Linked DNA regions of Danio rerio. The protein of the gene in region 5 interacts with the protein of the main gene of each other region in a pairwise test. Links are inferred from orthologs where the notes say so. Each region holds a gene or a part of one and is shown on either strand. Other genes may lie near its edges.

Region 1 (6,404 bases), on a different chromosome or scaffold from region 5:
CACACCATCACACATCAACACACGCTATTGTACTCAACATCACACTAATACACACCATCACACATTAATACACACTATTATACTCAACATCACACTATAATACACACCATCACAGCACAATACACAACATTATACACACACATCAAATCATAATCCACACCATCACACAATATTGCACACCATAATAAACACATCACACAACAATACTCACAATCACACCATTATACACGCCAACAAACAATACACAGCATCATAATGTAATGGATAAAGTTGTGTGTTTGTGCTGCTGAAGTGGAGATTTCTGACTCACAATGTTTCAAACTGAAGATATTTATTGTCATTGAACTCTACAGATGCAAACATTTAACAACAAACACATCCAGGTCTATTCAGCATTCTCCGCTAGTCTGAAATACAGTATAGAGTGCATGAAAAACTGATTTAACCTTTGCTGTCTCACCATGAAGCAACTAAACAGTCTATCAATCATGTTCATGATCCCATCAATAGCAGAAGAATATAGAAGAGTGTGTGTGATGCTGGTGTGTGTGTGTGTGTTTTCAGGCGATGCGGAGGCAGACAGAGATGGAGCTGCGCATGTTCAAGCAGAACGAACATGTTTATCACAGCATGCGTGAAGCCGCCCTCACCAGCAAACCCATGAGCGTCGCTGGAGAACAAGTGCAGATCAAAGCATGAACACACTCACACACACACACACACACACACACACACACATGAACAAACTCAGAAACATGCGATCATTCATGCAATAAATGCATTTCTGCAGATGCTGCTGTGTTGTGATTGATTGTAGGAGAATCACCTTTACAAACACACAGATGAAGATGATGATGATGATCATGAGATGCGTCTGCTGATCCTCTTGTAGACGATACCATTAAAGCTGAGAGTCTGAAACCAGATACGTTAATTAGGTTAAACTGTACACAGAGTTACTAATCACACACCCCAAATTCAGACATGGTCAAGTTTGACATGTTTAAACCTGTCCACAGCTTTCAGTCTCCTTTCATCTTTCATTTTAACATTGACAAAAAGCTCTGTTCATTTATCTTTTACTATTAATAGTTACTATTAGAGAGCTCTGGAATTCAGTTCTTCATACTAACAATTATGTTTAGAGAGCCCTATTATGCAATCCATACTAGTAGTAATTAACACAATTAGAAAGCGCTATAACTACATTTTCACTGGTAATGTCGCCGTTGACCTCCATTGATTAGAATTACAGATCTAATGGATTTATACTAGGTAAAGCATTTAGGGAGCTCTTTAATTAAATTCTCACTATTAACAATTCCAGTTGGAGAGCTCTACAATTATATTTTACTAGAAGAAACCTACATTAAAGATATATATTTTTATTAAATGGGAGAGCTCTATAATACCAGTCCTAATAGTAAATATTTAATTATTGAGCTCTCTAATACCATTCCTAAAAGTAAAATTGTATTATTGACCTCTAATACTATGATAGAAATTCAACTGTTGAGCTCTCTTAAACCATTCTCACTAGTAGAAATTCAATGATAGAGCTCTCTAATACCATTCTTACTAGTAAAAAATCAATTATAGAGCTCTTTAATACATTCTTAAATGTAAAATTCTAAAATTGAGCTCTAATACCATAGTAGAAATTCAATTATTGAGCTCTCTAATAACATTCCCACTAGTAGAAATTCAATGATACCAGTCCAAGTAGTAGAAATTCAATTATTGAGCTCTCTAATACCAGTCCAACTAGTAGAAATTCAATGATACCATTCTAACTAGTAAAAGTTAAATTATAGAGCTCTCTAGTACCATTCTAACTAGTAAAAATTCAATTATTGAGCTCTCTAATACCATTCTAACTAGTAGAACTTCAATTATAGAGCTATCTCATACCATTCTTACCAGTAAAATTCAATTATTGAGCTCTCTAATACCATTTTAACTAGTAAAAATCAATTATAAAGCTCTAATACCATTATTACTGGTAAACATTCAATGATAAAGCTCTCCAATACCATTCTTACTTGTAAAATAGAGCTCTCTAATGCTGTAAATCCTGTAAAAATTCAATTATAGAGCTCTCTAATACCATTTTTAACTAGTAGAAATTCAATTATTGAGCTCTCCAATACCATTCTTGTAATAACACAATAACAGATCTCTCTGCATTCTTTCTGGTAAAAGATAATAATTATATAGCGCTCTAATACCATTCTTAGTAGCTCTATTAGCTCTAATAACATTCTTACTAATAAAAAAGCAGTTATGAAGAGGGCGCTTTTTAGGTTAATTTGGTCTGCCATGAAGAGATGATGTTGACTTACGTTACTGATAGTGTCTCCATCCAGCTCCGTCACAGACTCAATCCCCTTGACAAACGCTGTCAGCTTATTACCATCCATTTGAACCACAGTCTAAAACACACACACACACACACACACACACACTGATCAATTCCACAAAACCTCACTGTAAAAAATGTATAGTGTAAATTTGAAAAGATTTGCATGGTTTGTACTGTATTTTTCATGGTGAAAAACTGGCAACCACAGCTACTAGGGTTTGTTTTTTACAGTAAATGTTATGTGAGTTTATGTTGTTGTTGATCTACAGTAATATAGTTGATGATCAGACTACACTGACTTTAGCTCTGTCTCCAGTGAACGTCTCCAGCTCACACTCCTCGCCCACAGTGAAGGAGTACAGAATGACTTTAGTTCCGGCCGTCACCGTCACCTTGAAGTCTTTTCCGTCCTGATGGATCTCAGAGATGCTCTTAATGTCTTTGCCTTTCTCGACCTCATCATCCGGCACACCTGGAGAAAACCCAAGCTGTGAAATACGCCTGCATGCTGATATACCGATGAGAACTTCCTGCTTTCTAATCCAAATATCTAATATTCTCACATCAAGAAGCATTTTTAGAGAAAGAAGTAAGAAATAATGTGTTGTTTTCAGAAATTATGAGTCAAAATAAAGAGAGTTTATCATTAAAACAAGCAAAATAATCTGCCAATGGTGTAAGTGAAATCATCTAGTTTTTCTCACCTCCTTGTCAGATTATTTTGCTCGTTTTAATAAAAAACTAAGTTTATTTTGACTCATTATTTCTTAAAACAAGACAATATTTTGTGCTTGTCTAGAAAATGCTTCTTGATTTAAGATTGTTTAGCTAGCTGGACTAGAAACAAGACAAGAAAAGCATTAGTGATGTGTTTTTCTCTCACCGACTGCCTTCATGAACGCCTCAAAGTTCTCGTGAGACTCCAGCTGATATTTCCCAGTGAACGCCATCAGCCTGATTAATCAAAGGTAAACACAACACATTATTACTCAGACTTTACTCTGCTAACATGATTTCTTACATTATAAAAGTCTCTTTTTTTCAGCATCAAAAGTCGACAGAGCAGAGATCAACTTTCCATAATGCAATTCACAGCCACAAATGAATGTAAAACACTTGCAAAATACTGGAAATTGTAATTAGCAGATATTTTTAGTGTGTGTGTGCATATATATATATATGCAGCATTCCTCGGTATATCCTCATTAGTGTTCAACAGAAGAAAGAAACTCTTGAAAGCAAGACTGAATGATGACAGATATTTTGATTATTAGGTGTACTGCGTCTTTAAATCTGAACTCTTACCTGTGGTGTGTGTGTTCAGCTTCAGGAGATCCTGCAGAAATGCAGCGTTTTGCTCCTACAGGCGGTTTTCTTCTCCTTGAGGGTTTGTTACGTCAGACTTTAAACCTATCAATGCACAATACACCGTTATATAAAGACAGATCAGATTATGATTATGCCACTGAGAAAATGCGCCAGTCTGGAATAAATGTCCAAAGGTTGCACACAACTCAAGACGTTTCCGCTTTCTCACGACTCTCACGTATATTCATTTTAATTATTATTTTTTGTTTCAAATAATTCCCAAGTGCTGTTTATTTATGAGAAGATGTTTTTCAACACATACTGGTTTTAATAGCTTGTTTCTAATAACTGATTTATTATGCCGTATGGCAGTATATACTGTAATATTATGTCAGATGTTTTGCAAGATTCATTCATTCATATTCCTTCAGCTGAGTCCCTTTATTCATCAGGGATCGCCACAGCTGAGTGAACCACCAAATATTCTAGCATGCGTTTTACTAAGCGGATGCCTTTTTAGCTGCAACCCAGTACTGGGAAACACCCATACACACTCAATCACACACATACTCGTACATTTCGGCCAGTTTACAGGGTTTCTGCAGGGTCTTAAAATGTCTTAAATCTCAAAATCTAAATTTTAGGCCTTAAAAAGTCTTAAATGTTCTGAAATATTGTGTTGGAGATCTTAAATCTGTTTTAAACAGGTCTTAATTTTTCTTTGTTCATGTATTGCTACCAAATCTGACCAAAACCCATACAATCACCCACAATCCTCTCAATAAAACATTAAACCTTTTATTTAAATTAATGCAATATTTTACTTTTAAGATAAATAATTTTCCTTACTATTACATTTGTTTAAAAGTGCTCCATGTATTTACTGCTGAGGATACTGACCTGGACTGATTGTTGTGCATACATTTAGTTAATTATAGTTTTTAAAACTTTTGTTTGTTTATTTTTCTTTAAGTTTATGTTGGAATAAAAGTGTATGGGAACATGTAGAGCTTGCTTGATTTCACACAATATGCAAAATATTTTGCTAAGAAATAAAATCTAAAATAATGCAAAAATTGTATTATTAAATTATTATTGTATTATTAAAAGTATTATAATTAAGTGTAAATTGATAGGGCAAATAAAATCTTTTCCATCTGGGCTATTAAAAAAATCTTTTGCATTTAGCCCTTTATGGGTCTAAAAATTAATTCATTAAGGTCTTAAAAATGTCTGAAAAGTCTTACATATAACTCTGAGAAACCTGCAGAAACCCTGATTTAGTTTGATTCTACTATAGCGCATGTGTTTGGACTGTGGGGGAAACCGGAGCACCCGAAGGAAACCCACACCAACACGGGGAGAACATGCAAACTCCACACAGAAACACCAGCTGACCCAGCTGGTAACCAGAGACCTTCTTGCTGTGAGGCCACAGTGCTAACCACTGAGCCACCGTGCCGCCTTTATTTCAACACATATTAGTTTTAATAACTCCTTTCTAACTGCTGATTTATTTTGTTTATGGATTTATGAAGTAATTAAAAAGACCACAGGAATTGATTTAGATTTGTTTGTATGTGTTTATTTTTAATCTCAAAAACAGGTGACCGTTCAGCACGGTGACTCAGTGGTTAGCACTGTTGCCTCACAGCAAAAAGGTCGCTGGTTTGAGTGTCGGCTGGGTCAGTTGGTGTTTCTGTGTGGAGTTTGCATGTTCTCCCCGTGTTGGCGTGGGTTTCCTCCGGGTGCTCCGGTTTCCCCCACAGTCCAAACACATGCGCTATAGGGGAACTGATCAACTACACTGGCCGTAGTGTATGAGTGTGTGTGAATGAGAGTGTATGGGTGTTTCCCAGTACTGGGTTGCAGCTGGAAGGGAATCCGCTGTGTAAAACACATGCTGGAATAGTTGGCGGTTCACTCCACTGTGGCGACCCCTGATGAATAAAGGGACTAAGCTGAAGGAAGATGTGCTTTTATTGGTATTTTCAATGTGCACTGCATTGACACTCCTGCATTTGGTTTAATTATATCTTTACACACTCATATACTTTCAATAATTGTATTACAATTGTATAAGATAATAATTGAATTACTTGTATCCAAGGTTTGGAAACGTTTGTCTAATTGGAAGTTAAACACATCTTTATGTTTATATCCCGAAGGTATTGACAATCAAAACATTGAGGGAAAAAATATATAAATAAGGTTTAATAAAAGATCTCGTATGTCCTTTCCGGGATTGCAGAAACATGAGCTACCATAAAAATATCATTGTCTCAAAGAAATTAATAATATCTTGTTATCATCACTTGATCACAGGCTACTATCGAGCTTCGGTGTTATTTTGCCTCATTTAAATTTAATTTATCTACGTTACTCGACTCTCGCCGTAAATATTCTCTTGTAGGTCTATAAAATTGTGTTATTTTTTTATTATAAATATGATTTTATGCTGTTGGTATTGTAACAGTATTAGGGTTTGTGTTTAATGAAGAATGATTCTTATTTTGCGTAAAAATATGTAAATAATCAGAAACAGTTGTGATTGGCTCTTCACAGCAGCGCTGCGAAAAGTAACGCACATCACATGACAGTCGCATGAGTCGGTTTTGTTTCTGCAGCGGTTTGTGTTATACTTTAAACGATTTCTGATAAACGACAGCAAAGATTTATGAAAATACACAGCGAAGAGTATAAACAGAGGGATTTTTATTCTCTTTAATTGCAT
Region 2 (5,709 bases), on a different chromosome or scaffold from region 5:
TGACTACTGTATTTTCGGTTTCTGTTTTAAGTTGACTAAGTTCATTCATTCATTTATTTTATTTTCAGCTTAGTCCCTTTATTAATCTAGGGTCACCACAGTGTAATGAATCGGCAACTTATCCAGCATATGTTTTACGCAGCAGATGCCCTTCCAGTTGCAAACCATCTTTGGGAAACACCCATACACACTCATTCACACACATACACACACATACACTACGGACAATTTAGCCTACCCAATTCACTTACTGCAAGTCTTTTGACTGTTGGGGAAACCAGAGCACCCGGAGGAAACCCACGTGAACATGGGGAGAACATCCAAACTCCAAACAGAAACGCCAACTGACGCCTGCCCAGGCTCGAACCAGCGACCTTCTTGCTGTGAGGCGACAGCACTACCTACTGTGTCACCGTGTCGCCTGTCTTAGCTTTTCTAGTACAATGATAGGCATATCATATTTTTAATTAACTATGCTTTTTATTACTATAAGTTTCATATATGGGCGATCTGGCTAGTGTAAAAAAAGTCTCTAACTTTTCTCTATACTTACTCAGTGAGATATCTACTGACAGACCATCCTTTCCCCCTACTCCTCCTCCTGACACTCCAACACCTCCGACACCTCCAGGTCCTCCAGCGAGTCCACCAGCCAGCAGCCCACCCCCGGCTCCCTTGCCAAAGCTTCCGGGTTTAGGAGGAGGCACGGGTGCTTGGCCGACCCCACCAGCATGCCCAGCCATCTGTCCACCAATCAGGCGTCCACCAACATCCATCATCTGGCCCCCCAGGCTGGGCACAAACTTCTGGAGGTTATCCTTTACAAAAAGTAACATAATAATTAGTGGAGGTGCTTCCAATTCACCATTCAGATCATGTTTGAAACATTTAGTGTTAGCAATAAGAACTTGATCAGGTAACACTTGGTCAATTAGTTAATGCTAACATTAACAAACTATGAATAATCTTGTAAAGCATTAACTAATCATAGTTCAACACTGCTAATGCATTATCAAAATCTAACATTGTGCTTTTTAACATTAATTAACATTAATTAACTTACAGTCGTGAAAAAATTAGGACATCCTATGAAACCCTGGGTTTTTGTAAGGTTTTTAATATATGGTTGTTTAATCTCAATTTTAAAAAGATTAAGGTAATGTGATTAAACAATTTTAGCTGAAAAAATGTAAATGTAATTTTACAAGAAAAAAGTTAGGACACCCTACCCCGTAATAGCTTGTGTAACCCCATTTGGCTGAAATAACTACAGTGAGACATTTCTTAGCCATCTACCAGTCTCTGACATCGGTCTGAGGACAGAGTAGCACACTTTTCAATGCAGAATTCTGTTTGAGGGGTTTCTTGCATGTGCACCTTGTTTGTTGCAGCAATGCAACCCCAAACCATGACACTTCCATCTTAGTGCTTTACAGTTGATATGAGTTTTTTTTCCTGGAATGTTGTCGTTAAATGCCAAATATGTTGCCTGTTCTGGTGTACAAATGGTTAAATTTTGGACTCATCTGTCCAAAGAACATTACTCCAGAAGCCCTGGTCTTTGTCATTATTCTATCTGGCAAACTTCAGTCTGGCCTTGATGTTTGTCTTAGAAAGCAAAGGTTTTATTCTTGCACACCTCCCATGTAAGTTAAACTTGTGCAGTCTCTTTCTGATTATAGAAGCATTCACTTTCACATCAACAGTAGCCAGAGCCTGCTGTAGGTCCCGTGAAGACATTTTAGGGTTTTTAGAGACCTCTTTTAGCATCTTGCGTGTAAACTTGCTGCGACGACTAAGACAGCTCAGACAGCTCTTTTGCTCTAACCTTGGTGCTCACTTTTACTTCAACAGTCAGGAGCACATCAAAATAAATTTCAGAGGTTTAGAAATGGCAAGCGTCATTCAAAATGCTGAGTAACGATTTACTAATAACGTGCATCTGTTGTGGTACATCTGTCTGTGATTTGAGCCATTTTAAGTGTGAATAAATGTGAGATGTTCTAACCTTTTCCTCAGTTAGAATATGCCGTTTTGTAGAATTAAATCTTTAATTTAAATACGTTTTTATTTGCTTTGTTTTTATATTACCTTAATATTTCAGTATTGTTAAAATTCAGATTAAATAACCATATATTAATTTTTTTTCAAAATATCCAGGCTTTCATGGGGTGTCCTATTTTTTCATTACTGTAAATAACATTAATTAACAATAACAAAGATTAATTAATACCTAAAAAATGTATTACTTATTGTTTGTTCATGTTCGTTAATACATTAACTAACATTACCTAATGGACCATTATTTTAGTATTACCCTTGATCAATATAAAGAGTCTGAATGCAGGTAGAACACTGATACACAGAAGAACTAATTTAAGAGTAATGACAATCTTATGTAAATAATCTTGAATCTGTGAACAAATATGCATAGGACTTTGACTTCTAGCCTGCCTTACCATAGACTCACTACTGAAGAGGTCAGGGTTGTTCTCATAGATAAACTTCTCCACTCGAATTTGCCTCATCTTGAACATCTTGGAGCCTTTGTTCTTATTAAGGGACAGTTCCTCTAGCATGATGTCCTTGGGTGCCCTGATCTTTTTCCCCAAGTCAAACTCTGAGGCCTCTGGCTCTGATTCATACTCTAGAAAATAAAAAAAAGAGTTACACTACATTTCAATGGGCACCATGACACTACAGCATTGAGCTTTTGAATCTCTGTCGCCATATCTGTTTGAAATAAATAACTGCAAGTTGGGTTGTTCTTTGCTCCACTATGTCTGTGAATCTGCAATCTTCACATTACAGCATATCTGGCATTCTACATTGACACAGCTGTGAGAAATACTTCCTACTAGCTGTACGGTTGTCAACATCATCTTTAATCAATCATCCCCTTTCTACAAAGCTGTCCTAAAACCAGTGGTGTAAAGTAACTAATTAAAAATGCTCAAATTACAGTAATTGAGTAGGTTGTCTTAGGAATTGTAATTTACTAAGTAGTTTTAAAAATCTGTACTTTAACTTTCCCTTGAGTACATTTTTAGTGATGTATCTGTACTTTTACTCCACTACTTTCCTTCAATCAGCAGTCACTACTTTTGAAAAATCAGTCCTGGGATTCCTGTTCTATCAAATCACACAGAAGGCAAATCGCATCATAATGAAGACCATGAAAATGAAAACCAGGTTGACGTCAGAACCCAACGTCAGGTCGACGTCAAAGTCCAATGTCCATCCTTAAATCAATTAAATATCAACATCTAATTTAAATCAATTCAATATCAACATCTAATGATGTTTGTGTGATCTTTTCCACTACGACGTCTATCACATGTTGGATTTTAGTTGCCATACCTGATGAATAAATATATTTGACGTCAATATGACGTTGGCTCGACGTTGGGTTTTGGTCACTTTTCAACACAACTTAAAATCAACCAAATATCAACATCATTAGATGTCGTTATTACAAGTCAAAATAATGATGTCCTTAGACGCTGTCTAGACATTGAATTTTGGTCACCTGACATCACAACCTAAATCTAACCTAATATTAATGTCTTATGACGTTGTGTGCCTGCTGGGCAATAACTAAATGCACCTCAGAATGTTACGTTTCCACACACATACACAAATTACATGTAACAGCTTTTTACAGTGTAATACTCACTACTCACTACTCTTGAGTACTTTTGAAAGATCTACTTTTTACTCATACTTTGAGTAATATTTACAACAGGTACTTTTACTCTACTCACACTACATTTTTGGGCAAGCAATGGTACTTTTACTTGAGTATGATTTTTTTAGTACTCTTTCCACCAAGCAAAAACAAAATGAACAACACCTATTCCTGTTGACCAAATGTTGACTATTGCATACTATCTGATTTAAATGTTAATTGCCACATAAAGTAACATGCACTTTTTCCAAGACTGTTCCAAATATATTATTTTGGAGTGATGTCAGTGAAGACATACATTTGGGGTTCTTTATAGAACCGGTTCTTTACAGTGAACAGTTCTTGAAAGAAACATTTGTAAATTAACTAGTTATAGCTACCTATTGAACAATTTAAATATTTTAGTTGTACTGGAGAAAAAAAAACAACTATTTATTTATTGTTCTTTTTAAACAAGCTCTTTTTTTTAAAGGTAATCTGCAGTTTAGGGTTTCTTAGGTTTATCAAGAGGTGATTGTCATTTATGTGTATATGTGTATTCATTTATTTGTGTAGTGTGAGTCTTCAAAATAATAAAATATGATGCTTTTGTAATATTAATATAACATGCTTTCAGCCATTTCTGTCTCTGTGAACTTTCTAGAAAGAGTCAAAAAATCATGTCTGCTGGATACTTTAAATATCTCATTTTTAATTAAACATTCATTTATTTTATTTTCGGCTTAGTCACTTTATTAATAATGGGTCACCACAGCGGAATGAACCGCCAACTTATCCAGAACATATTTTATGCAGCAGATGCCCTTCCAGCTGCCTGCAACCCATCACTGGGAAACACCCATACACTCTCTTTCCCACACATACACTACAGCAAATTTAGCACACCCAATTCACCTATAGCGCATGTCTTTGGACTTGTGGGGGAAACCCACACCAACACGGGGAGAACATGCAAACACCACACAGAAACGCCAACTGACCCAGCCAAGGCTCAAACTAGCGACCTTCTTGCTGTGAAGCAAGCGCCGCACCTGCCATTAATTAAACAATAATTTTTTGTTTTGACCATTATGCAACATTAACATGTCAACTAGCATGCTAGTAGACGGTCAGATTTATCTGTTCTGCTAACTGTTTATTTTGATGGTCCTTCAGACATATACTGACTATAAGGTTAAAAATCCAAAAACATAACTTATTCTACTAACCCTACTAACAGTCTACCAATACTACTCTAATGAGAGAGTTACTTATAGACAACAGAATGTCTAAAATTGATCAAAATAAAGTGTAGTCAAAACATGCTTGTCTATGTAGCTATGTAGTCTTTGTAGCACTTTACAAAAATGCTGCAATAAATTAATTTACATTTGGAAATAAAATTCATGTTAGCAATAATATGTAATAAATGCATCATAATATTATTGTAGTTCTCTAAAACATTAACTGTGCAAGATATCATTATCATAGGAAACTCTCTATATCTGTTTTTCGCATTGTAATCATAACACTATTATTCATCTTACCACCCACTCTACTTTGGAAATCTTCATGACGGTGTTAGTATAAACAATTCGTTTCTTTGGAACTTAGCAAGCATATTTCTACATAAAATAAGTGGCTATTCCCTCCAAAGGAAAAACATTTCAACAATTAAATTAGTAAGAATCTGTTTGTAACTTAAAATAAAGATTCTGAAAGATGCTTTTGTAGCTTGCCATAGAAGAACAAATTTTTTCCCCTCAAAGATAATTTTACTGACCAGTTCTTCAAAGAAACATTTTAATAATATTATTAGCCTTTTGATCCATTACACAGTGTCTTTTGTTCAATGGAAATGTTAAAAAAGTGCCAATTCTTCAGTGCCAATCAATTTCAATCCAGAACCTTTATTTTTAAGAGTATAGCCTAAACTAAATTATCCACTCTTCTGTAACAGTTTTTTTTATTCATAATAACATCTATTTCACATTATTCACAAAGCATAAAAAAGAACATATCACTCAGGCTTAATTTCCTCA
Region 3 (6,247 bases), on a different chromosome or scaffold from region 5:
ATTCACCAAACACAAGGTCAACTTGTTTACAGAAACTCTCTCTGTCTGTTTCTCTCTCTCGCCGCTCCTTGTCATCCTCACTTCATTAGAGTGTGTCTCGAGAGGCATGAGCACCTGAACCCCTTTCTATTTCAGGATTTTGTCCTATTACTTCTCATTATTTGTCCCTGGCTTCTATATCGCCAACAGTGTTTGTCTGTGTTCACAAAAAAAATGTATATGTTCTTCAATATTTAAACATTTTGTTTGGACTAAACCTAATTTCTTTCAATCACTGATTGCTCACTTTTAAACTGCTGTTCATACAGAATCAGCTATGATGAGTAACTGAAGTCAAACCCCTTTACAGTTTGCAAATATCATTTGTAGCCATAGTGACAATGACTAGAGCAAATATCACAAATGGTGACTTCCATATCGCAGCTGATATGACACTATTTAAAGTCCCCATCAATGCATAATATTGATCCTATTGTGAATTATTAATTCATGTGTATTTTTAATTTAATATGTGATCTTGTCATTTTTAATTAAAGGTTCTGTTTGTGTAATTCATAAACCTTTGTTATTAATGACTCTGTAGGGTCTGCAACAAATCTTAATTAACAATGTTTTTTTGTGGCTAATTAATCTGTGTAGATTAAACTATTGAACAAAAATAATTAAAATAAATTCAAACCATTTATTTCTGTAATCCTTCTCTGATGATTTCAGTTTGACAGCTTGGTTGAAATATGCTAAACCACGACCCCTCCAACTATTTGCAGTTGAGTAAAATATGATTTTTTATTTGTGCAAAAATAAAACCCCACCTACTCAATTTTTGATCTCAGTTTCTCAAAATACATCATTATTCTGAAATAAAGGTATGTAGCAACTTTCGGGTCTTGCTGACTTTTAGAGTTAAGAAAATTGCAGTCAGCAGCTTATTTCTCATGCCGCACTCATGCACACATAACACAAAAGATCCAACATGATACAATGCTCAGATATTTTCACAGTGGATTTCATTAAGATTTGTCTTATCATAACTTAATTAGAAGCTAAAAAGGAAGTAGAAAAATATTTGTTGCGATATTCTAATAATGAACATCCAGACACTTTCCAAGCTGAGAGTGACGTTAACATAAATATGTTAATATTCATAAACAGAATAACTCTTTCAACATTATTGTACACATTGTATAAGCATTCGTTTCATTTTTCATATGGATGAAAGTAGGGCTGGGCGATTTGGCTTAAAATCAAAACCTCGATTAATTGAACATTTTAACTCGATTACGATTAATGAATGATTATTTTATATATATATATATATATATATATATATATATATATATATATATATATATATATATATATATATATATATATATATATATATATATATATATATTTTTTTTTTTTTTTTTTTTTTTTTTTTTTTTGCCATCATAGTTCACTAAAAAGTTTTGTTCCATAAATATGCTCCCAAATTGCAAGTAAGAGGTTTTTGTATGATTGGTGCATAAATTAAGTTTATAATAACTGAAGGAAACACACACTATCTATGATTTATTAATAAACAACAATTCTGAACAACTGAAATTAAAGCACACTTTGCCTAAACAACTTGCACTTTTGAATATTTTTAATTAACATTTTCAATCTATTTCATATTAAAAGTAGAAATTAAGCAGTTTCTCTTTTAAATAAAATAAATTTTGTATACCCAGGCTGTAAATAATATTTTAAATAGTGCATTTCTTCTGTAAACAAATATATTAATGTGAATAATGATTTTAATGTAATGGAAAATATGCCGTCTCAAGGCATCTCTGATGCAGCTTCCAATCATCGCCAATGTAGTGCAAAGTAAGGCTAAAAATGGGTCCATCGTACTACTTGACCAGAGAGCAGATGTGGCTGCAAAGTGCAAAGTTAATCACCCTCAGCGTTTAACAGAGCTGGGTCATGTGACTCCACATGCGGTAGGGAAAGTAATTGAAAAAATTGTTCAGGAAAAATTCAATCGATTATAGGTTCTGAATGTTGATTTCGATTAATTTTCAATTAACCGCCCAGCCCTAGATGAAGGATTCCTACAAGAGTTAATATCTGAACTATTTTGATTTTCTCACCAAAAACATCCTGTTAAAAATCAGTCTACAAGCCTTTAAATACCTTGGATTTGAGGAAACCTCTCTTTTAAAGTTCTAATACAACTCAAGCAAACATTGCCCATTTAAATTTTAATAAAAGGATCTTCTAGTATGACAGACTTGTCTCTGGTGTTTGCAGGACACATCAAAACATTTATCCTGCTTAAACCCTTTCGCTTTCTAACACACAACCTCAAGCTCACATTTAAGATCTGCATCCAATTAAAAACCCATGCACAGAACCAAGTTATTATTTCTTTTGTCAACTTTCGATCCAAAAAAAGTTGGGTGCATTTAAGATGCAAGCTCATCTCTCCGCTCACAAAACTCATGTTAGACAACAACTCTATCTAAAACCTTTGGATGACACACAGCTCATTCTCCAAATCCCCAAAGAGAAAACACACTCACTTATAAAGTGCAGAAGTCACACTTGTCTGTAACTGAAGTGTGTGTGAGTGTAACCATACTGAACACTGCTCTCAGTAATATCCTTGATGTGAATGTAGTCAATGAAAACTGATTGTAATAAAAATATGTCTGATGTACATCATGATGTGATGTGTTTATTTGAAACCTGAGTCATACATAATGTCTAAATACTGCATAGTACGATTTACCAAAGTAGGACATGTTCCTGCATCAACATACTTTTCCTGGACAGCAAACGATACCCTACCCCTATCCTTAAAATCAGTGCACTGATTTGCTGATAAGGATATTGTTCCACTGCCTGCAAAGGATGTTGATCCAGGAAAATGCACTTCTTGGTTCTCCTCTAAAGCTTTGAGATGATTGCATACCAGTTTGCCTTCCCGGCTCTCCTTTCTGCAGTATCCTTGCAGCTCGGTCGGGGTTGAGCAGCTGGCGGACCGCGACTCGAGAATCCCCGGCGACAGAGAGTAGAAGGGTGGACTGGGGCTTGGAGGGAGTCCCGAATCCGGACTATCGAGCAGTCCCTCTCGGTTCTTTCCTTTCAAACTGTCATCCATAGCTTGCAAATGTAAATGCCCCACCATTTCTGGAAGAGCGCAATTATAATTTTTTAAACTAGCCAAATTCACTCCAAGAAGAAAGACGATGCAAGATGTGTTTAAAGTTAAAGTCCCATAACAAAGCCACACAGGGAGACCTGTTGTTTCCTTCAGAAGCCTGAAACAAAAGTAATAACATATATGGTTTATATGGAAGAACAGAGATAGTTCTCACAACTTGTACACAATTTCTCCTCAGGTTTAAAGGATTTTTGAGAGTCATTTTTAACACAGATACATTCACATTTAAGTAGGTTGTAAAAAAATAATCTAAATTTAATTCTAAATATAAAAATGTGTCTAAACCTAAACAACATTTCTGAAACAGCAAAATGTTAATGTAATAACTACTTCAAACTGCTGATCTGACTTAAAACACTAAATATTGTGTAAGTATATACCAATATAAGATGTGACAACTTCTCCTGAACACCTAAAACCTTGCTTACTGAGGTATAATCCTTGTGACAACTCAGTTTGACAACTACAGTACATGGCCCTATACAGTAGTTTACCAACTGACTTCATTCGTTAAAAAGCATTTAGGCTACTAAATAATTACAATGTATAATGACTGTACTAAATCTAGCATGGTGCCAGTGTACATAGCGTGTTTTTGAAGAGAGTTAAAACACTACCAGAACTTTTTTTAGCGCACATATTTTGATGCCCAAAATGCCGCCTAGGTAGGCATCTTACTAGATTTGGAAACGCCGCCGAACATGTTTCCAAAAGTGCTCGTTACAGAATAATACGCAGACCAGTCACATGCATTTGTTTTTATTTAATTAAAACATAAACAAAAGCCACTCCTAATGCGCTTTATAATAGATTCAGACTGTATAAAAGCGATAGCTGTCCCTTAAAGAGACTAACGTTAGGTTACCTTTGAATTGTATAAATCCCGCCGTTTAAAACTCCGTGAATGAAGTTCACGTTAGTTCATGATCTCAAAGAGTAAAATCCAAAGTAGGCGCGATTATATTCTCACAGGCAGCTTCAAAAGTGAACAGCAGAACTCGCTGAATTCTCACAAAAGTCCCCAGCTGATTATAGCCGGTGTCTTCTGTTCGTCTGTGGTCCTCCTGAAAGTGCAGAAGTGTCTCCCAGCAGCGCTGCGCCAGTTTGAGAACGAGTAGAGAGCGCGCACTCTGACCGCCAGCCTTTATGCGCCTGGAGCCAATCCAGAGCGGCCGAGCAGATGATGTCAATACAAGCTCCAACCAGCAGGGGGACCGACAGCTGCGTTTGACAGCTCTGCCCTACATTTCAGCAAAACGTTTGGCTTTTAGAGAATAATATAAAGCAAACCGCGAAAGTGTGTGTAAAGCATTAGTGTAAATCAATTTACACGTTTTAAAATGCTTTAGAACTGACCTCTGCGAGAAAAAATGCACCTCTGCGATTTCTGAAGAACATTTGTGGCTTTAAATTGCCTTGATTCTTGAGAAAGTGTACTGGGTTACTGTGGGATTAGTGTGTCACACTTCTGAAAAATTAGGGTGACCTGTATCTTTGGCCGATACACAACTTTCCTTCTCTGCCTACATGAAAAAGTACTATAGTAGTTCATAGTAAATACACTTTTTGAACCAAACTAGCCAAGTATATTTTACTGTATTATAGTATTTACAACACACTACAGCATATTATCTGTAATGAAGTGACAAACTGTAGTAAATACCGCAGTATTCTTTAGTTTCACAACTGCAAACTGTTGTTTATTGTAGTATAATATACGCAATTATATTAAAAAACATAGTAAAAAAACATAGTAATGGGTCAATTGTTTATTACTACAGTTAGGTCACCATACATAGAAACTGTGTTACTTCTACAACAGATTAATTCAGGTAATTTATTATATCATGGTTCAAAATCACTATATTTACTATAAATTCATATATATATATATATATATATATATATATATATATATATATATATATATATATATATATATATATATATATATATATATATATATATATATATATATATATATTTTATTATTTTTTTTTTTTTTGTGGGTGTAATTTAAGTCTTCGAAGAATCAGGAGCTTGTGTTATGATTAGAAAATACCTAATTTTAAGTCAATCAGAAAAAAAAAAAGAGTGACACAACGAAATTAACCATGTTTTTACTACAAATAAAGAAGAAAATAAAATGAAAAGTGTAGTTTAACCAAGGTGACCACAAATTAAACTTGTGCCAAAAACCATAGTTTAAATATGGCTGTAAAAGATTAATAATGGTAAACGATGGCTACTACACATTCACTATAATAAAACCCTGGTTAATTTTCATAATGGACGTCACTACAACCATATCCATGGTTAAACACCGCTTCAGAGCATCTGTGTGGTTTCTTCAAACCACATATGCCACACTGATAAATGATAAATAATTAGTAATAACTGAGCATATTGTAAACAAAATATAAGTGTTTCTCAGCCCTGTCTGCTATGTAGTTTATAAAACAGGTGCTAAAATCTATTTCTGCCTGAACAACGCCAGCTGAGTAAACAAAAAAACTCCTAACAAAAAATAATTCTTATTTCCTTTCGCTTTTTCTCATGTACTCAATTTTTGAAAACAGCAACTGCACTGACCTAAAATGTTTGAAACTGAGTAAACACAAAAACTCTTTTGGAAATCGGTACTAAGAGATAATACATTATAAGAACAAACAAAATCCAAGCATTCAGTCCATCATGAGCTTCCAGCTGTGTGTGTGTAATCACAAGAATCAGAAATTAGCTCCTCCATTTGAATTATAGTTTGAGCATTTGATTTGTCATTCAATTATTATAGGATTTTTCTGAGTTGTTCATTTCATTAAAATTAAATATCAAATACATTTAATTTCTTGTTTAAGAACGCATTTAGATTTATTATTTGATCGTTTGAGCATTTGAATTTGAATTTGAATTATGTTAGGTAAAACTTCCATTTACGTACAGTAACAGTTAAATACAAATTAACAGTCCATATGCGCTAAGAGTTTCATTTTGTAGAGCGAACTTGGTAAATTTGAGACGAAAATTCAAATTAAGTGAAGTTTATTCATA
Region 4 (5,634 bases), on a different chromosome or scaffold from region 5:
TTCTCAAAACTTTTGGCCATGACTGTAGACATACAGTGCTAAGCAAATATTTGAGTACATCCCATTTTGAAAATGAATATTTGTATCCATTTCTCGGTGAATGTAAGCAATGTATTGTCGTGCATTTAAACAAAACAGATTTTTAAAACAAATATATTTATACAAATAATATTTTAATCACCAAACATATTTAGAAATGAAAAGATAATACAATTCAATTCAAGCAAAATAACGTAAAAACAATTACAACTTACAAAATTTCAACTAAATTTTTACATTTTTCTTCTCTTTATTTTCCCTCTTTTTTTAATTTGTATTTAATATTTTTCTATAACATAAATGTGGGTGTACTAGTTTTTGGACTGTTATCATAAGTTATTTTGTTAGATAAGCTCTAGATTTGACTTCAGTACTGACTAATCTAGTATATATACAATTATAATATTGTATAGATTCCTATTAAAAATATGAATTTAAAAGATAGATTTGGGAGTTGTGTATTTGTATATGCTGAACACTGTACGCTGATATTCATATATTCAATATATCGTGTTTATGAACTTGCGTGATATTAATATTGTGGGCACAAACTACTCTACCAAGTAATTATTTGAGATTTCAATTTTTAGAGTGCTTTAAAGAATAGTCAGATTCTATTTGCAGTGGTTGTTTTTCACACCACCAAATGCTGGAAGACTTAATAGAAGATTTATTTTCAAACATTAACATGTTTATGTTAATCTGACCAACGAAATTGAAAATTCATTGACTTTTTATAGGCTTTTTGTTCATTAACTCTGTACAGTACAGTTAAATGTTTTAACATCAGTTAATTTAAAGTCAATGCAATGACAACTACAAAAACATTTATTAATCTTAGGTGATCTTAGTTTAAACTAAGAAAATAAAGTGAGAAATTCTAGTTTTAATAAATGAAGTTAATAACTAATTAAGTTATATTTATTATTAACTTTAACATATAACTATAATACGGCCATTTCTTATTGTTGATTGTAGTGCATTACCTAATGATTACCAATGAAACTGTGTTACCTATAGCACTTTATCATCCTTTTGCAATTAAATATAACCAAGTATATGCAATAAATCAAAACACTAGGTAATGTTTGGTAATTATACCTTTCAACGTAGTTGCGATAAGTATTGTAAGGTATAGTGATAATATCATTTATTATGATAAAAGCTTTAGCAATTAATTGCAAATTCACCCACCATAGTTTAACCAAAAAAGAATGTTTACTTTCTATTTACTCATGCTCAAGTGGTAAAAAACCCGTAACCACTGACCTCTATAGTAGGAAAAAGAAATATGAAAGTCAATGGTTACATGTTTTTAGTTTTCTTATAAATTTCTTTTTTTGTGTACCAGATTTGAAACCACTTGAGGGTGTGTAAATAGAGAGTACATTTTCATTTTGGGTGTACTATCCCTTTAAGTACACAATAAACAAGACAATACATTTATAAACAGAACATTTAATAGGGATTTTTAAAAGTACCTGAATAGTGTGTCACTGATCAGCAGGATATCAATGGCCAAAGCTTCACTTGCTCTTTCCACATGAGCCAACCTGTAGAAAACCAAAATGAATGCAAATATCTCATAAATAATAAGTTACACTGATTAAAAAAACACACACACAAAAGTTATCCTTATTAAGGTTGAGTGTACTACTGATAAGAGTTGCTCATTTAAATGATAGATTGTGATCACCCGTAGAAAGCTCGATCCGGCTCCTGTTGAAGCATCTTGTAAAAGTCCTCCAAAGCCTTGACCTCTCCAGCTGCCTAATACAGAAAACAAATATCACACAGTAATAAACCCCACCCTGTGCTTGCAGAAAGCCAGAAGTTATATTTGCAATTGTACAAACTAAACCTAGTCACCTTGGTGTCAGATAATCGAGCCGTGACTGCTGGATCACACAGCACCTCTATAAAAAGCAAACATCGCACATTGAAACTTTATAAAATATGTTTCTAAAAATAAACTTTAAGCATTCATTTATTTTCTTATCGGCATAGTCCCTTTATTAATCAGGGGTCGCCACAGCAGAATGAACCGCCAACTTATCCAGCATGTGTTTTACGCAGCGGATGCCCTTCCAGCTGCAACCCATCACTGGGAAACAACCAGACACACTCATTCGCACACATATACTATGGACAATTTAGCACATGCTTCTGAACTTGTGAGCAAACCGACAGGAACACGTGGAGAACAAGCAAACTCCACACAGAAATGCCAACTGAACCAGCCGAGGCTCAAACCAGCGGCCTTCTTGCTGTGAGGTAATCATGCTACCAATGACTGTAAAAAATATGGACGACGCGACAGCCCCTTTTACCATTGAACGCCTTGAGGGCAAAACGCCTGCTTGACGGGCACAAACTGTCGCAAAAGACTGCTGAAATTGGAGCCTTGACATGCGCAGAAGGACTGTCTGATGGAGCCAGAGGAGGAGCTGCGAAAATGAGTCGAGCTTCCAACCAAACGCTTTATGTAAAATCAACCACGCCCCCCGAACTTCTCAGCATGCGTTTGCTGTCATATCAACACAAATGGATGTAATAACGTTAACAAATATGAGGGTTTTATATATTCAATCGTGCCGGCTCTGGGCCGCAGCGCATAACCTACTCTCGGCGTCACGGGCTGATTCCGGCTCGCATGCGGCAGCGCCAGCTCGCTCGGCCGCCGCATCTGGCTCGATTGACTCGGGCTGGAATCGGGCAGTAAGTCCAGGCATCCGGAGTAGGTCCAGCAGAGGTAGTCAGTCTGAGCTCTGATGGGTAAGTCTCCGACAGGCGAGAATCTAACCGGAACTGGCCCGAGTGTATTTTGCTATCTGGGTGGCTAGGCGTGTATTAGCAAACTAAAAAAGCCCGAAAAAAGCCCTGACCTTAGCGAATAAACAGTGTTCCACCAGGATCATGTATGTCAGAAACTGTAGTTTACTGCTGAACTCATTTTGTCATGGTGAAATAACACAGAAATCGAATAATAACACTTCAGTCTTCTGCCGAAGCTCAGACGCGCTGCTTTAAGAAACTGTCAATCACAGCTCTCAATCACGATGACACGCCCAGCATTAAATTACTGCTAAAAACAAACTGTTTACAAAAATGAAGATCTGCACCTATTTCAGCACAATAACCAGTGCCTTAATCGACCAGAACCATCTTTCGGGACATTTTATTGCAAGTGTAATTAATTTTCTTATTTGGGCTCAAGTCTCCTTCATTAACACGGAGAAGGCGGGCTTTATGACTTGTACTGCAGCCAGCCCCCAGGGGGCGATCTAACGGCCGAGACCTTCACTCAAACGCAGGCTTGCGGCACACTTGCATGCTACCCACTGCGCCATCTTGCTGTCCCATAAACCTTAAACTGATTTATAAATGGAAACACAAATAAACATATAAGTTAATACACTTTTAAAATGTATTTCTTAATAAAGATAATATTTAAAATCCATGTGAACTGGAAGATGCTGAGACTTCTTTATGTGGATGCACTCAAAACTAATGAAATAATAAAGTAGGGGGCTGGGTTTTCTTTTGTGCATCATTCCCTCATAACAAACTAACGGTAAAAGTTATTGCACACTGATGCCTCATTCACACTAGCAGGTCTGTGTAGGTCTCCAGCACGGAGAATACAAACGGCCTCTAAGCGAGCTGAAGAAAGATGACATGAGCTCTACTGGTGCTCCTACTGGTTGTCGCTCAAAAAAAGTCGCTCTTCATTTGCATAAAGTTGAAGGATTCTCAACTTTGTTTTGTCACTAGACACGCCCACCTGTTTGCCAGCGGTCACTCGCGTAGACGAAGGTCGCCGGAAGTCGCTCACTCTCCGTTGAAATAAACGGTTGCTTGTTCCTCGTCATGTGAATGAGGCTTGAATCGGTTTTTGTACGTTAAAAATTTAATTGGTAACACTTGATGGCCCATTTGAGTATTAGAAGATACAGTTGATACAGTTTTGATACAGATATTCAACAGACATTTGACTGACTATAAGAAAGTTTGCAAGTACATGTCAACTTACACTAACTCTAACCCCAACCTTACAGTCTACTTGTAATTTAATGAGAATTAGTTAGCATGTAGATGCAATGTAACTTAAAGTTAACAAACTGACCATCAAAATAAAGGATGACCAATTAATTCAACCTCATGTTGTGTGAATCGTATTGACACAATGCCTCCAAAACTTTTGTCCATTATAAAATCGAACCGGGTTTGATTTTTTTCCACTTTTCGCATCCGAAAAAGCACTTTGAGAGTGTTTTGACAGTTCAGAGCCACCAGCTATGTTTCCATCCAAATATTCAAATCAATTTCATGAGCAAAACTGGAATTTCACAACAAAGACGTGTGAATAAAGCAGTGTTTCTATCCAAACAGTCAAAGAGAACAAAAATTGTCACTTCCAGATTAACTGGAGGCAAATATCTACAGTAAAAACGATATTTGCTACGGTAGAAGCTGCGTCAATCTTTTACTAATTTAATAAATGGCTTGCGCTTCAGAAGACGATGCCGACGCGCATTGAACAAATGGTGGTGTTTGAATGCGTGAAATTGGGGGCACAGACACTTTTGACAGTTCTGGAGGTAATTAATAATGTAATAACACTAATACTGAAATGGTTACGACAATTTAGAACAAACAAAACAACTTTTCAAATGATTTGTCTATTTACACACTTTTTTATCAACACATGATCTCTTATAACAATAATCACATGCGCATACTGAAATTTGTGCGGTAAAAGTGTTTCCATCTTAGTTTATGCACATATTTTCTTATCGAATAAAATGTTTATCCTACTCACTTATGCGCATATGTTTTGTATGCACATTTTCAAAATTTATGCGCATCTTGCCGTTTCCATCAACCTTTTTTTTTTTATGCGCATATCCAAAATGCACATAAAAATAGGTGGATGAAAACAGCTACTCTACAAGCAAAAAGCTAAATACAGACTGCTGTCATTTGAGTAACAGATAACTTTATGACAAACACAGTGCATAAAATGACAAAATGTAGCAGATAGTTCAGAACCCCTATATCAGGGATCACCAAACTTGTTCCTGGAGGTTCGGTATCCTGCAGATTTTAGCTCCAACCCTAATCAAACATACCTGAACAAGCTAATCAAGGTCTTACTAGGTATACTTGAAACACCTAGGCAGCTGTGTTGAGGCAAGTTGGAGCTAAACCCTGCAGGGCACCGGACCTCCATATACAAGATTTGTGACCCCTGGCCTATATGCTGGATTCAGTGACTGGCGCACCTCTGCCCTGCTGCTGTTTGGCGTGTGTGCGTGTATGTCCATACATTTGAAGTATTGCCCTAAGATATAATATAATATATCCACTTTCCGGTCCGTTGCTTCAACACGTCAATGTGCCATCTATTATAATTTCCAAGCATACTGCCAATCTCTGTTCAGGATCTGTTTATGTATGTGAATGTGTGAAGAATCACAAGCAATCTATCAAAATTCCACTGATTTCAAGAAATAAACTTTGCATTTCGGGATAATTCAGCGCAGCTCTTTGATAATGGGCTGAACTCTCCTTCCTTTCCATCCAATATTAGAT
Region 5 (5,709 bases):
TACTGGAGATCTTATTTTATTTCGTTATCACAAGAGTGTGAACCAACCTCAAATTCTTATAATTATGTTCAGGCTTGGGTGAATAATGACAGTATTTATGCTCATCCATATTGAATTATCATCAAGGCCTTCTTTATTGGATCGTCATGTAGAGCCAAACCACAGTATTGACTTTTAGACATGCTGTGCATCATACACCTCCAAAGCTCTGGCAGCTCAATAGTTCAATCTAAAATGAATATAAACAGCTTGTGCACTGTACATGTGGAAGTGATCAGTAAATGTACAAACATACCTGTGACTGTACACTTGCTGGCGTCTCCAGTAGGCAGGGCTCGAATGCGATATGGAGAATACGGGATCTCATCACCACCATACTTAATAAGAATGGTGTAACGGCCGGTCATGTCAGGCACATAGGACACAAGGTAGGTCCCGTCCTGATTATCACGAATGTTAGCCTTCTTTGGCTTCCCATCAGGGTCCTAAAATAAGCATTGAGAAGCAAATGGATTTATTTAAAAAGGTTGTACTAGACAGTGGGCATGCTACGGCTGTAAAGTGACTCATCAGCTCACAGTTATCTGGACGGCCAACAGTCCCTCTCCTGCATCTTTGGCGTCAATAGTGAACTCCACGGGCAGACTGGCAGGAACACCAGTGGTATTCAGGCCAGGACCGCTGCAACGGACTTTACTTGCGTCATGAGTGGGCAGAACCTTCACCTTATAAGGACTGAATAAAGAAGGCAGAAGAGAGAGGGAAAATAAAGAGCAGGGAAAGACAGGGACCAAGGGAATTTAAAAATGCACCAGACCTGCTATAATACCAACTCCGGTAGTCCATGCCAATGCCACAAATTTCACAATATTTCAAATGCCAAATTTGAGGCCCGAGCATAAACTAATCTGCTATTAAATACTGCATGCTGTTAAATAGTCATTTAAATAATTATTAATACTCACTATCTAGGGTGTTAAAAGTCTGATATAATCATATTTACTCACAGAATGTATGTACTGTATATTACTGCATGAACCATTGTTTATACACTGTAAAACCCAAAAAGTTAAGGTAACCATTCAAGTTTAAAAACTAATCCTAATGAGTACTGTGAACTTACTCCATTTAAGTAAACAAAGGAATTTGAGCACAGTAGAACCCAATTATAAAGAGAACTTAAACCAATTGAGTACTGTAAAACCCAATAAGTTAAGGCAACTCAAACTGTTTATCGAAACAGATTGCTACAAACAACTTCAGTTAACTAATATCTATACGAGTACTGTGAACTTACTCCAAGTTGAAGTAATGGGGTATGTAATTAACTCGTTACTTTCAACAAAGTTCAAAACCCTTTTCAAATTAGTAGAATTAACTTTCAGTAAATTGAGTTACCGACACTCATTTAGTTTGATAAAATTGACTACTGAGTTTTACAGTGTAGTAATTACCACATCACTAATGCACCATTTACACTGGTATTAACATATGAATGATCAATTAATGACACAAAATACAAGTAAAAATGTAGCCTAAAATGTTTCGAGTTTGTTCATCCATTTCCAGAGGTAATTACAATTTCAGATTAATTAAAGATTCTCTTTAGAGTCACTACTGACAAGACGTGTAGTGAAAAAGTGCAGCAAAAATGAGATTTGTAACAAAATTCTGATTATGGTCAAAATTGGTAATAAATCTCAGCTAGATCCATAATAATAGCAAGTAAAACATGGCCTAGAAAATTATTTGGGTGAAGTGGTATCTCTATGGTGTAGGAAGACTGATCTGTTTTTCCAAGTCACCTCTGTGGGATCTCCTCATCAGCATACAGAACATTAATGGAGTATGGCCCCTCTCTTGTGGGCACATAGCTGACTGTGTGAGTCTGGTCACCATTATCCACCACCTCAGCAGGCTCCACAACACCTACAAGACATAAATATTGTCACCAACAACCTTAAGTGGAATGGAGAGAAAAAAAAAAGAAGAGGATTCTTAAAAATCGAACTCCTCACCTTTGGGTCCCTGAACTCTGACCTGCAGTGGCGCCATACCAGCCTTGCTTGCATCCACAGAAAAGACCTGTGGGATATTGGCACGCACGTTGTTTCCAAGCCCCTGGCCCTGACATTTCACTTTAGTTGGGTCAACAGTATCATGGACAGGTACAGAGAAAGGGCTTCCTGTGGCAGGACAAAAAAAACAAACAATATTTGGATATGGACTATGAGAATTGGAAAATAAAGAAGAATATAAATATAATTAAACTAATAATAATAATAAAATTAGTCATATAATAACATTTATGAAATCTGACCAGTGATTGGTTGGCCTCCATAGGTGACATTGAGGTTGTATGTCCCTGGCTCATATGGGATGTATTCAACACAACAGCTGCCATCTTTGTTATCGGTGCAGGACATTTTGGCCTCAGAAGGTCCTTCCATAGCCAGCCCCAGTCCACCAGTACCAGCCCCACTGCACAAAAGACAAAGTAGTGAGGCAGAGCACTTTAATCCAAGATCTACTAAGACTTTGATTTGACTGAAGGAGCAGCAGCTGAAGGTTGAAACGCAAAGCAGAATGCTGCTCACCGGGTCTCCACGGTAAATTTGTTAGGTTTGTTGGTGATGCCAGACTGAAGTCCTGGACCATGCACACGCACACGCGCCGGGTCACAGCCCTCGGTCACTGGCACACGGAAGGGGCTTTTGGGAACCGGGGAGCTGTCATATGCAACCTCAACACTGTGTGTACCTGTTAACATACGGTACAAAAGATTAGTGTGAAGTACTGTCATTTCACAGCCATTTTAAAGAGCGGTGCATATTTCTGTTAAAATAACCACCTTAATGCATGGATGTACACACCTTATCAAATTTGTTTATTTTATGTATTAAACTACTAAAATAAAAAAATTTAAAAATTATGAATAATTCTTAGAGTAGAAAGATAGGGGACAAGCTGCAGTGTTCTTTTTGAGTGAAAAGATTGTATGTTTTATCAAAATAATAAATGCTTGGTAAGTTTTTCTTTTTATCCTAACTGTATTTAAGCACCTGTATTTAAGAGGTCACAATTTTGATTCAACTCTACACATGATCTTAATTCTTCTTTTTTACGATTCAGTCACCTATATTTTTATAGGTGCACAAGACTTCACATTGTTTTATATGCGTTGCTCAGCAGCACGGACGCCTCCAAATGGCGATTAAAGTGTCACCTGATGTATTTAAGAGGTATAATTTACTCCAAAGTTTAATTTCTGACTTAATGTGATGTATTCACGCATGAGCGGACATACTGTTTGTTTACTACAGTGTACTGTTTACAGAGCGCGTGTGCCCTCCAATGATGTCTTCTTTTAGTGAACAGAACCTGCACAGGCTGTGAATAACAGGTAATAAAGTTGTAAATAACATTCAGTTTGATGCACAGAGCAATTGTTTGGGGGTCGTGCGAGAAGTATGATTTGTGTGTGTATTTTTAATTTTTTTATTTTTCTCAAAGTGACGGCAGCCATGTCATAAGCATACTCGGCAGTGAAAGTAAAACCAAAAGTCCGTAATGATTACGACAAGCATTTGATATCTTTTTTCTTTCATACCCAACAGTGTTGCGTATGAGAATAAATCTTTACTAGGTCAGTAATAACTACTCTAGCCTATATAATGTTGAATATAATGCAAGAGGGAATCCGATAATGACATGTTTCAATTTACCAGTGGAAAAAATTATCTAATATTGTTGTCAATGACAAATGACAAGCACAAGTCTCAAACATAATAATTCAACTTCAAAATTATGAAAAGTTGTATTCTGATAATCACTTTGTGAATAAACAACCAGGACATATTTAAAGTCTGTTCAAATGCACAATTCCAGAACTATACAAAATTGAGCATTTTAACCAATAGTAAAACTACACGTATGGCTGATATTCTTATTGTTGTTGTTTTACCATAAATTTGAGAAATAACAATAATAATAGCTTACTCTTATTAACCTTTATTTTACATATACAGAATCGTGAAAAAAAAAAAAAAAAATCGAGATCTTGAAAATTGTGCGAATCATGATTCTCATTTTAGCCATAATTCTACAGCCCAACTGTACTTTCAATAACAGATAGATCAAAATTCATAGAGAGATTCACAAACTTAAAGCACCTTTTAAAAATCTTTCAAATACCCCAGACATAATGTTTGAACAATAAATGTAATGAAAATTATCAAGTTTTTCATTTGCACTCTTGAATAGCTTCATGTCAAAATCTGTTTATACAAATCCACAAAAAATGTGATATTCCTTGTTGAAAAAAACAACACGCAATCACGCACGCACCCCATATATGGTCTTGTATTCCACAGGTTTGTTAAACACATAATACCCATGATGGATAAGAATCAAATAGAACAGTTTTCAGAAATTTGCACAAAGAATTCCAATTGTTTTGTTTTTTTAATCATGTTAAGTTGAAACAGAAACAGCCCTAACACTCACCCTCCTCATAAGGCGTGTACTCCACTTGATATGTGCCGTCTCCCAGATCTCGGATCAGTGCTTCAGTGCGGTTGCCCGATGGGTTGTTGATGCAGGTTTTGATGTGATTGCCTCCGGTTTTAGTGAGCGCACGGGCATCCACAGTGAAATCTGTAGTGGCTTCCCTGAAAACACCTACAGGCGAACATTCAAAAGTAACCAAATATCCAAATACAGACAGCGGATTCCTGAAACAAATCTCAGAAATCTGCACTACCTTTGCCCTCCACTCCGGGTCCGAACACTTTCACTCCACTGGTCTCCACAGCAGGCTCCACATGGAGTCTTGCTGGGAAGTTTGGCACATCCTGGTCCCCGTAGCGGATGGTGAGGGTATAGGCTCCAGGGTAGAGAGGGACGTAAGTGATGGTGTAGGTCCCGTCGCCGTTGTCTTGAATGTGGACTTCAGCCTCAGTGCCATTGTCAGAGATGATCTCGATGGTCAACTCAGCAGGGCCAGCATTAGTGCAATCCACCACAAACTGTCCAGGCTCGCCAACCTTCGCCCGCTCCAGTCCTGGCCCAGAGCATCGCACCTACACATGAGAACAAAATGTCAGGATATGGATCAAAGAGTACATTTTCTCTGCCGCTAAAGCCAACATGAGGCTCAGATGCCAAGTCTGAGGTGTTGCGCAACACTAAGAAAATTAGTTTATAGACTAAACAGCCCACGAGAGAGTTTTCCTGACGCCTTTTTGTCGTCTTGTTAAACCAGCAGTAATGTTTAACTTCATTTCCAAAGTGCTCTCACCTTGGATGGGTCAGTAGGTGCAATGGCTTCGATGGGGAATGGACTGCCAGGGATGGGGGCGCCATCATATGTCAGTTCCACCTCATAGGGTCCCTTATCTCTTGGGATAAAACGAACTTGGCTGGTTTCTGGGCTCAGGCCTGGTTCAACTTTACAGGGCACTGATTTAGCAGATGGACCAGTAACCTTTGCGCCAACTTTGCCCTGACCGCCTGCACCTTTAGATTTGACTGTGATCTCCTGATCCTTTCCAACAGTCATTTCTGTAGAAAGAGCAAACCGTTTGATATGTGGTAATTCTAAGGGTATTCCATTACAAACAAAACAAGGAAATAGATTACTTACTACTTCCAAGACCAGCCACTTTAACTTTACTGAGGTCCAGAGAGGGGGCAATTGCTACTGCAAAT

The links.
Region 1: the proteins of flna (region 5) and fabp1a interact in binary tests that used the Homo sapiens proteins (3 or more experiments, as listed by UniProt). The two-hybrid records come from large-scale screens. The link is inferred for Danio rerio from reciprocal best matches to the Homo sapiens genes FLNA and FABP1.
Region 2: the proteins of flna (region 5) and myoz1a interact in binary tests that used the Homo sapiens proteins (3 or more experiments, as listed by UniProt). The link is inferred for Danio rerio from reciprocal best matches to the Homo sapiens genes FLNA and MYOZ1.
Region 3: the proteins of flna (region 5) and rflna interact in a two-hybrid assay, tested with the Homo sapiens proteins (2 studies listed by BioGRID). The two-hybrid records come from large-scale screens. The link is inferred for Danio rerio from reciprocal best matches to the Homo sapiens genes FLNA and RFLNA.
Region 4: the proteins of flna (region 5) and pelo interact in binary tests that used the Homo sapiens proteins (3 or more experiments, as listed by UniProt). The link is inferred for Danio rerio from reciprocal best matches to the Homo sapiens genes FLNA and PELO.

The regions. Positions count from the first base shown.
Region 1 is NC_133180.1:78,474,336-78,480,739, reverse strand, and holds fabp1a (fatty acid binding protein 1-A, liver), read right to left. Parts: upstream 3,709-6,404; 5' UTR 3,673-3,708; intron 3,331-3,672; exon of another isoform or gene 3,320-3,330; 5' UTR 3,313-3,319; coding exon 3,246-3,312; exon of another isoform or gene 2,835-3,245; coding exon 2,662-2,834; exon of another isoform or gene 2,535-2,661; intron 2,433-2,534; coding exon 2,343-2,432; intron 916-2,342; coding exon 862-915; intron 835-861; 3' UTR 827-834; intron 797-826; exon of another isoform or gene 700-796; coding exon of another isoform or gene 565-699; 3' UTR 315-564; downstream 1-314. Other genes in the region: histone-lysine N-methyltransferase SMYD1a, read left to right, coding at 565-699.
Region 2 is NC_133188.1:25,416,080-25,421,788, reverse strand, and holds part of myoz1a (myozenin-1a), read right to left. Parts: intron 2,648-5,709; coding exon 2,460-2,647; intron 819-2,459; coding exon 554-818; intron 1-553. UniProt on the Homo sapiens protein: Myozenins may serve as intracellular binding proteins involved in linking Z-disk proteins such as alpha-actinin, gamma-filamin, TCAP/telethonin, LDB3/ZASP and localizing calcineurin signaling to the sarcomere.
Region 3 is NC_133183.1:51,760,887-51,767,133, reverse strand, and holds the start of rflna (refilin-A), read right to left. Parts: upstream 4,291-6,247; 5' UTR 4,062-4,290; intron 3,294-4,061; 5' UTR 3,161-3,293; coding exon 2,945-3,160; intron 1-2,944. UniProt on the Homo sapiens protein: Involved in the regulation of the perinuclear actin network and nuclear shape through interaction with filamins. Plays an essential role in actin cytoskeleton formation in developing cartilaginous cells.
Region 4 is NC_133187.1:13,763,760-13,769,393, forward strand, and holds part of pelo (protein pelota homolog), read right to left. Parts: intron 1,956-5,634; coding exon 1,909-1,955; intron 1,810-1,908; coding exon 1,736-1,809; intron 1,593-1,735; coding exon 1,521-1,592; intron 1-1,520. UniProt on the Homo sapiens protein: Component of the Pelota-HBS1L complex, a complex that recognizes stalled ribosomes and triggers the No-Go Decay (NGD) pathway.
Region 5 is NC_133198.1:22,691,766-22,697,474, reverse strand, and holds part of flna (filamin-A), read right to left. Parts: coding exon 5,645-5,709; intron 5,563-5,644; coding exon 5,300-5,562; intron 5,082-5,299; coding exon 4,763-5,081; intron 4,681-4,762; coding exon 4,507-4,680; intron 2,761-4,506; coding exon 2,598-2,760; intron 2,482-2,597; coding exon 2,321-2,481; intron 2,187-2,320; coding exon 2,019-2,186; intron 1,930-2,018; coding exon 1,806-1,929; intron 736-1,805; coding exon 579-735; intron 486-578; coding exon 296-485; intron 1-295. UniProt on the Homo sapiens protein: Promotes orthogonal branching of actin filaments and links actin filaments to membrane glycoproteins. Anchors various transmembrane proteins to the actin cytoskeleton and serves as a scaffold for a wide range of cytoplasmic signaling proteins.